Alligator mississippiensis: one gene and its partner. The protein of the gene in region 1 interacts with the protein of each later gene in a pairwise test. Links are inferred from orthologs where the notes say so. Each region holds a gene or a part of one and is shown on either strand. Other genes may lie near its edges.

Region 1 (3,742 bases):
GACAGGATGCTGTTTGCGCTTGTTTAATCACATCAACGGCAGTGCATCTTTAACACCACAAAGGCAGCTTAAGGAAACCCATCCAACAACCCCAAAGCACCAAGGCTTTCAATACTCCATCGGACCAAGGCTAGGACAAGAAGACCCCGACCAATTTTCAGTCTCCTCGAGTACAAGTGCCACACGAGCTTATCTACCCCCCACCTTTCTCCCACGCAGGAAGAATATATAGCAGCTCATTAAATGGGTTTAACTCAGCTGAGGGGCCAGCCCGGGACACCCACCACGCAGTCGGTGAGCGTGCCCCATTGCTCAAAGTGGCTGCGAAGGCTCTCGTCTGTCGTCTCAAAGCTCAGACCGCCGATGAAGAGCTTGCGCAGCTGCTCGGGCTCCTTGGGAGACTAGAGAGGAATAGCAGGGAGTGAGCGGGAAACGAGACCTCGCAGGACTGGGGGCTAAGCTCCCGCCCGCAGGTACCCCAAACCCGCCCCCCCGCCCCTGCCGAGCCACGCGGGAGCCCCGGGAGAAAGGAAGCTCCGGCGCATGCGCAGTCGCCACGGCGCGCCGAGCACAAAGGCGCCCGCCCGCATGGCCCCGCGCGCCGCGCATGCGTCGTCCGCCCCGCCGGCCACGCAAGCCCACCCCCACTTGCGCAAGCGCAAAAACCGCTCGGCGCCCTCCGCCACGCAGGCGCAAACCCCAACGGGCGGGAGGACCCCGGCGGACGAGGAGGCCCCGACGCACCTCGGCCCTGGACATGGCGGCGGCAGCAGCGGCGATGCGGGCTCCTTGAGGTGCCGGCTCCGAAAGGGGCCGAGCAACGCCGGCGCCACCGCCTCACCCCGCCGGCGAGTTCCCATTGGGCGGCAGCCGCTGCGCCCCGCCCCCCTCACCGCCTCCTATTGGCGGAATCCCAGAGGCTGCAGGCTCTCATTGGTGGAAGAGCACCCGCGCCCTCCCCCATTGGCCAGGACAGAAACGATCCCGCCCCCGATCATGGCGACCATGCGCAGAGCCCCGCCCCTTCCCCCACCCCCCGCGCTCACCTTCTTTCCCGCTCGCGGCTCCATCCGCTCCATCGCGGGTCGCCCTGCTCCGCGCCGCCGCCGCTACTACCTCACGCCGGGGTCCGGGCACAGGTGGGAGCGGGGAGGCGAGGCCGCGCGGACTCCACCAGGGCGAGAAGCCGCGCCGCGGTTCAGACGCGCTCTAAGAAGAGGCCGGGGGCGGGCTCGCGCACGCGCAGCAGCGCGCGGGGCTCGCCCTACTGCGCAGGCGTAGCGGTGGGGGGGGCGGCACCTAGGAGGGAGGGGTCTGGGCGCTCATGCGCGGTGCGAGGCTCGCCGGCGCATGCGCGCTCGCGGGCTGTTTTGGCGGGCGGCGGGCGTTGCGCAGGAGCGGAGTGGAGAGGCAGGGGTGCCGGATCCGCTGCATCCCGAGGTACCCGGGCGGCGGCGCGGTCCGGGGGCTCGTTGTATGCAGTGAACGGGGGAGTGCGGGCGGGCTTGACAGACACGCGCGTGGGCCAATGGCGCGGCGCGTTGGCTCCGGGGGGGCGGGGCGGAGGCGCCGTTGCCTGAGGAGAGCGAGAGCAAGGCGCGGGGCCGTGAGGGACGGGCAGCTCCGCCAATGGGGCGGCGGCTTCGGCACCGGGGAGGGGCGGGGCCCCGCCGGCGGACGGGCGACGGCGGCGCCCAATGGCCGTGCCGCTTTTCTCCGCGCGCGCCTGGAACGCGGCCGGATTGGCGGGAGCGCCAGCGGCGCCGGCCAATCGGCGGCCGAGGTGGGGGGGGCTAAGCGCCCGCCCCGCTGCCCGTTACCGAGTTACCCCCCCCACCTTAGAATGGATCCAGGCGTTCGATCCTCATTGTGACGTCGGGGGGGTGGGGGTTACCGCACCGACCACGTGGGTGCGGGGGAGGGGGGGCTGGGACCCTGTTTGGACCCGCATACCCACGAGGGACCCCCCCCCCCCCACCATGGCCCTAGGTCCCCGCTTTAATGCGTCCGAGGAGCGGGGGTTGGCTTCCGGTTTGGGGCTGGGGCTGAGTGTCGTTCTCGTGCCAATCTCCAGGGCTGGTCCTCGCGGCTGGATCCCCACCCCTTTCGGGAGAGCGGAGCAAACACCTCGCTTGTATGCCGCTAACGGGGGTGGGGGCTGCTCTTCGTAGGCCAGGGGGAACTTTGGCCCACCTCCCTCCCCCCCCTCCCCAGCCGGTTTTGCAGTGGGGAGTAAGGGTTGGGCACGTGGGGCGATGCCTCACGAGGGCAGCGGGTGGGAACCCCGCCGCGTGTCGCAGCTGGAAATCATGTGCGCGAAGGCTTTGGGCGGCTTTGGGGGTCCTTGGCACCACGGCTGTAGCACGGATGGGAAAGGCTCCGATTGGGAGACCTTTTCCTTGTATTGAGGCAGCGGGGGGGGCGGCGCTGGGGAGGAAGGGAGGTCCTGCTTGGCTTGCACAATAGCATGGGGGCCGTCCACGGTGGAAGCTTTTCTGGCCTTCAAGCCAGAGCGAACACCAGTTGCTTCCCCGCCTCCCTCACACGAGGCCTCGGAGCATGGGCGCTGCTGGTGGAAGCTGCGGCCATCTCGTACCCTGGCTGCAGCGCGCGGCCCCTTGCAGCAGATCAGTGCGCTTTGCAAATGGAGCCAGGGAGGTGAGACCACAGCTCCTCGGCCAACAACGAGCCATGAGCTTTCCTTCCAGCTGGACCAGACGGCCAGGTACTGACGAGGGGCCTGGGCTTAGCCTTGGAGGCCTCCTCTGGTCCCAGAGCACGGCGAGGCGAGATTGCTGCGTTTTTTTAACGCTTCCCACCCCCAGGGGATGTCTAGTCTGCAAATGTGGCTGTGGCTGCGGCCTCTTACCCAGCTGCCCCCTACAACGCTCCTGTGTATGTGACTTCTCTTTGTAATGGTTCCAGTGGAAAGAAGCACTTGGGTCCCAGATGCGTTGCAGTGGCTAACAAGGGGAGCCTTGTGTTTAAACAGAGCGACTTGGAGAGCCGAGAAGGGGAACGGGCTCCGTGCAGGAGCAGACTGGGTTTCTGCCCCCCGGAGGCCATAGCAGCGGAGTCCCCCTGCCTGCGCCTCAGCCTCGTGCTTCTCTAGCAAGCCCCGGCCTGAGCTTTAACAATGGGCGGCGGTAACTTCAGCCCGACCGGCAGCGGGGTTTGCCTTTAGGCTCCGCTGGGATGAACGGGGAGCTCCTGCTGCTGAGCCATTGTCTGCCTGGCTAGACTGCTGCAGCAGGGCTCGGCTAGCCTTGCAGTATCTTAGTAACCAGACGGGCTGGCAACTGCAGCTGTGTCAGACTGGGAGGGGCTGGTGCTGCGTGGAGACCCCGGCAGGCTCCTGCTGCCTCTTTCTCCCAAATTAACCAGGGCTGGTGTGTGCGTGCATCTGCTGTGGTCCTGGGTAGTTGGGGTGGCATCAATGGGAGGTGATGGATCAGTTGAGGCGAAACCAAAGGGCCTCAGCTAGGTGAACTCTTGCATTCCTGGGAGGCTCCCTGCACTGTCCTGCCTGTGCGTTGGTCTGTGGCCTGGCCCAGAGGGGTTTCGAGCCGTGGCTGGGGTTTTCCATGCCATCGGAGAACACATGGGACAAAACAGATGAGTCTTGGGAAAGATGCCAGAGGCTAAATCCTGCCCTGTGCAGAAGACCCAGCGCTCTGGGCTTCAGCCATGTCTGCTGCCACGGAGCAGGATTGACCCCCACGTTTTGGTGGCCTCTCCAAGC
Region 2 (3,742 bases), on another chromosome or scaffold:
CAGTTTGTTGTAGTGCACGCGCAAGTGAATGGGAAGCCGTGGAGCTGCAGGGCTGCACTTTTTGGTCTGGTCTGTTCCCCAGCATCCCCCACTCCTCTCATACTCCCAAAGCAGGTGGGAGAGGCTATGGGTGCATGTGGCTCTGGCTGTTTGTATTCAAGCTCCTGGAGAAGCAGCACTTGCCCTCTCAGATACAGAGCAGGCACTGGGAGGGGGCAAATGATGGAAAAAACAGGGCACAGAGGGTAAGGGGCTGCCTCCTCACACTCACCTGGCATGAGCTAGAATCTAACTCAGTGGTTTGCAGCCAGGGTGCCTTGAGGCTAAAAAGCTTGAGAACCACTAGCCTACACACACATGGAGAGAGACAAAGAGATTCTAAAAGAGCAGCAGTAGCTGCTTAATTCCTTCACCTGTCACCTAAAATAACATTTCTTCTATGCAGCATGTGCTTAAACAGCAAAATGTATAGATCATATTAAAGCCATCCTCCCTCTTAGAGGGATTTCTTCACAAATTTTCTACTTAAGGCCTGAAAAGCAACAACTTTTTAAATGCAAAAACTGGGATAAGATCCCAATCAAAAATAGTTTTAACATCTTCAAATATAAGGTACTCCAGGGACTTTCCTACCTCTTCCTGGTTGGATCTTCATTCTCATCCTGAACAAGAGAAATACGCTTCTTCCTGCGACGATTTTTCTGTGATGGAGTTTTTGGCATCAACTCTGGCTCATCATTACAGTCACTGCTTAACAGATGAAACAGGAAAAGTAGTAACATTACCTGGGCACTTTACTTGCTTGTTATGCCAGCCTGTCTCTGAAAGGCAGCTCTCCAACTAATGAGAAGATAAACGCAATGTCATGGGAGACCACAAGGCTCACTTCTGCTAGGGCTGCAGAGATGGTAAGGAAACTGAGGTGCCAGTAGTCCCACACAAAGCATGTGCATGATGGTCTTATTAAGTTGGGACCTTAAATTTCAGAGGATAAACAAAAACCTCCTGTACTACATCAGGACTAGTCAGAATACAGTTCTCAAGTCACCAAGAAGCTTTAAACTTCTCACCTAGAGAGCTTTAGAGAAAATGTCTTTTTTTCCTGCAAGCACCGAGTCCTGCGGTTATGAATAATAAATATACATGCTAGCTATGTCTATCAGTTGTGGTAAAATAACGATAGGTTTTCTCTTTTGAAATGAAGGGCTTTTGACATCCTTGAGCTGTGTGCACCCTGTGCTTAAAGCCAGCTGTTCACCTGGCACCAGAAAGCATGACTGGATCAGAGGGTCAAATCTCAGCCTGACTGACCTACCCTTGGCATATCTGTTATCAACCCCTGCCCCTCGCTTCCACCTGTTATTGCAAGTTGCCCCAGGAACTGTGATGAAAGCCCCAACTAGCAACAGGCCAGGGGATAATACCTTGCTCTTTGCCTTTGAGGCATTAATGGCTGACTTACTCCGTGCTCAGTAGACACATGTATGATTAGTACTGTTATTATAGGAAATACCTGCACTTTCCCAGTGACTTCCTCCCAGGGATGTCACTGTACTTGGCAAGCATTTGCAAATGTATCCTCAGACCACTGAAAAAGTGAACAGTAATGCGCTGGGGTGGGGGTTGCTGCACTTTGTATTCTTTTGTTGCTTCAAGATATTGCTCCTGAGCCTTTTTTCCAGGACCACAAGCGAGTGAGCAAGCCAGGTGTGGCAGGGTCAAGCTCTTCAGGGCAGATCCTGCCTTGAGCAACCCTGGCTAATGCACAAGAGGATCAGAGGCGCAGCCCCACACGGAAACAGTTAGCACCCCCTTGTTGCTGGGGGAGTCCTTGGGGCAGCTGAAGCCTTAGCAGGGACAGAAGAACAGGGCAGGCGTGATAACAACAAGCACTGGGCTGGGGAAGGGGGCACAGCAGAGGGCACGGGCCCTTCAACTTGCTGATGCAGCCGAGGGGCCCCACCAAGCCCCACAACCTCCTGCTCACCCCTCCTAGGCAGAAAGGAGGGGCCGGAAAGACCCTGGGGCACTGCCGCCTTCCTGCCCTTGCCCAATTCCCGTATCTGTGGCCCAGCTGGAACCATCCCTTCACGTACCCTACCCAGGACCCCTCACGCGTGTCCCGAGAAACCAGCTCTTCCGTCCTCAGCAGCCTCCCGCTGCCCTAGGGGGCTCGGCCCACGCTCCCCCTGCAGAAAGGAGGCAGAGGACCCCGAGGGCCGGAAAGGTAGCGACCGCAGCCGCCCCAACCAGGGCCTCCCGCCGGCCAGGGCTGGAGAAGACCCAGGTAGGGGTTGGACATGCGTGGCCGCCCCCCTCGCTGCCCCCACGGCCGAGCCAGACGACGGCTGGGAGGAGGGGCCGCCCCGCACCTGCCGAACATGCGGGCCGCCTCATCGCGGATCTCGGCCAGCCACACCAGGTCCGTCTCGTCCACCTCGCGCAGGAACTCGGCCAACCGCCGACTGCAGGTCTGCACGAGGTGCGCCGTGCCCGCCATGGCCGCGCCGCCTGCAATGGCCCGAGCCACCAACGGTCAGAACACACCCGCCGCGGCCTCGAACGCGGCCCCCCCACTTCCAGCCCCGCCGGCGCCCGCCTAAATTTTTTGAATCGAGCTCATCCCCCCGCCGCGCTCATTGGGCCACCACGCGCTTACGCCACAAAGGAAAGGGGCGGGGAGAGAGGAAAAGGAAGGAAAAAAGCAGTGCCGAGCTACACAACAGGCCCTGCTAGCCAGCGGACTCTTGTACCCTGGAGGACTGAGTCTGGGAGGAGCTTCCGCAGGGCAGGTAGGAGGAGAAGGAGGAGGGACCAAACCAAGGCCAGGAGAGAGCTGATAGGCGGGGCAGCTAGACAGAGCCGCGCCGCCTCCGTAGCCTGTAGCTAAACGGGCCGCGGTTGATGGACAAGAGCGCTAGCCAAGGGCGGGCCGCTCCTTTACAGCGCTCCCTGATTGGCGCAAGGTCGGATGACCTCGGGGAGGGAAGCCAGCCATTGGCTCTTGCTTTTTGCGCTGGGCATCGCTGTGGGTATGGCAGGCGGTTCCGGTTAGGAGGGTGCCTGTCTAGCTGACGCCTCTATGGTCGTCACGGGCACTTCACCAAGGGTGGGGCGTGGGAGGGAGCTTCTGTGTGGCGGGGGCGAGGCCTGGCTGCCTCTGCGTGTTCTCTGGCCGGGGGCGTCTCTCACCTGCGGCGGGGGTGGGACAGGACGCCTGGGTCCTCTGGCTGCCCTGTCTCCCTGCAGGGCTGGGGAAGCCCAGGGAGGAGGGGCTCCTGGGTTCCAGCACCCCTGGGTGTGGGAAGGAGCTGGCAGCGGGGCTCCTGCTGCTGGAGCAGAGCGATGGGTGCTGATGGGGGAGCTAGACTGGTTGGGTCTGATGCCTGCTCCTTCCCTATGGGACGCCTTCCCTGTGCCTTTCATCCCCTCTCTAGCTTGGGGATAGCCTTCTGTCTCCCAAAGGGATGGTGGGGGCGTAGCTGTCTGCCCCAGGGTTCGATGGTACCCTACGAAAGGCGCCTTGCCTAGCGATCGGCTCTTTCCTCCTCGCCCGCCCGTTGTAGGCAGAGCCATGGTGGAGATGGTGGGTCCCACCAACCTGCTGGACTTCTGCAGCCAGAAGCTGTCGGAGTTCCTGGGCAATGCCGAGCACAAGCATTTGGCGTGGCTGCGGGAAATCGAGGAGGAGGCGGTGAAGATGTTTGATAGGTTGGTCCACCTGACTGGCAGGAGAGGGCGA

The links.
Region 2: the proteins of CBX5 (region 1) and INCENP interact in binary tests that used the Homo sapiens proteins (3 or more experiments, as listed by UniProt). The link is inferred for Alligator mississippiensis from reciprocal best matches to the Homo sapiens genes CBX5 and INCENP.

Annotation. Positions count from the first base shown.
Region 1 is NC_081838.1:7,979,834-7,983,575, forward strand, and holds the start of CBX5 (chromobox protein homolog 5), read left to right. Parts: upstream 1-1,334; 5' UTR 1,335-1,350; coding exon 1,351-1,440; intron 1,441-3,742. Other genes in the region: HNRNPA1 (heterogeneous nuclear ribonucleoprotein A1), read right to left, coding at 285-401, 1,047-1,079. UniProt on the Homo sapiens protein: Component of heterochromatin that recognizes and binds histone H3 tails methylated at 'Lys-9' (H3K9me), leading to epigenetic repression. In contrast, it is excluded from chromatin when 'Tyr-41' of histone H3 is phosphorylated (H3Y41ph).
Region 2 is NC_081825.1:179,238,615-179,242,356, reverse strand, and holds the start of INCENP (inner centromere protein), read right to left. Parts: upstream 2,593-3,742; 5' UTR 2,501-2,592; coding exon 2,373-2,500; intron 751-2,372; coding exon 634-750; intron 1-633. Other genes in the region: inner centromere protein, read left to right, coding at 2,972-3,032, 3,567-3,711. UniProt on the Homo sapiens protein: Component of the chromosomal passenger complex (CPC), a complex that acts as a key regulator of mitosis.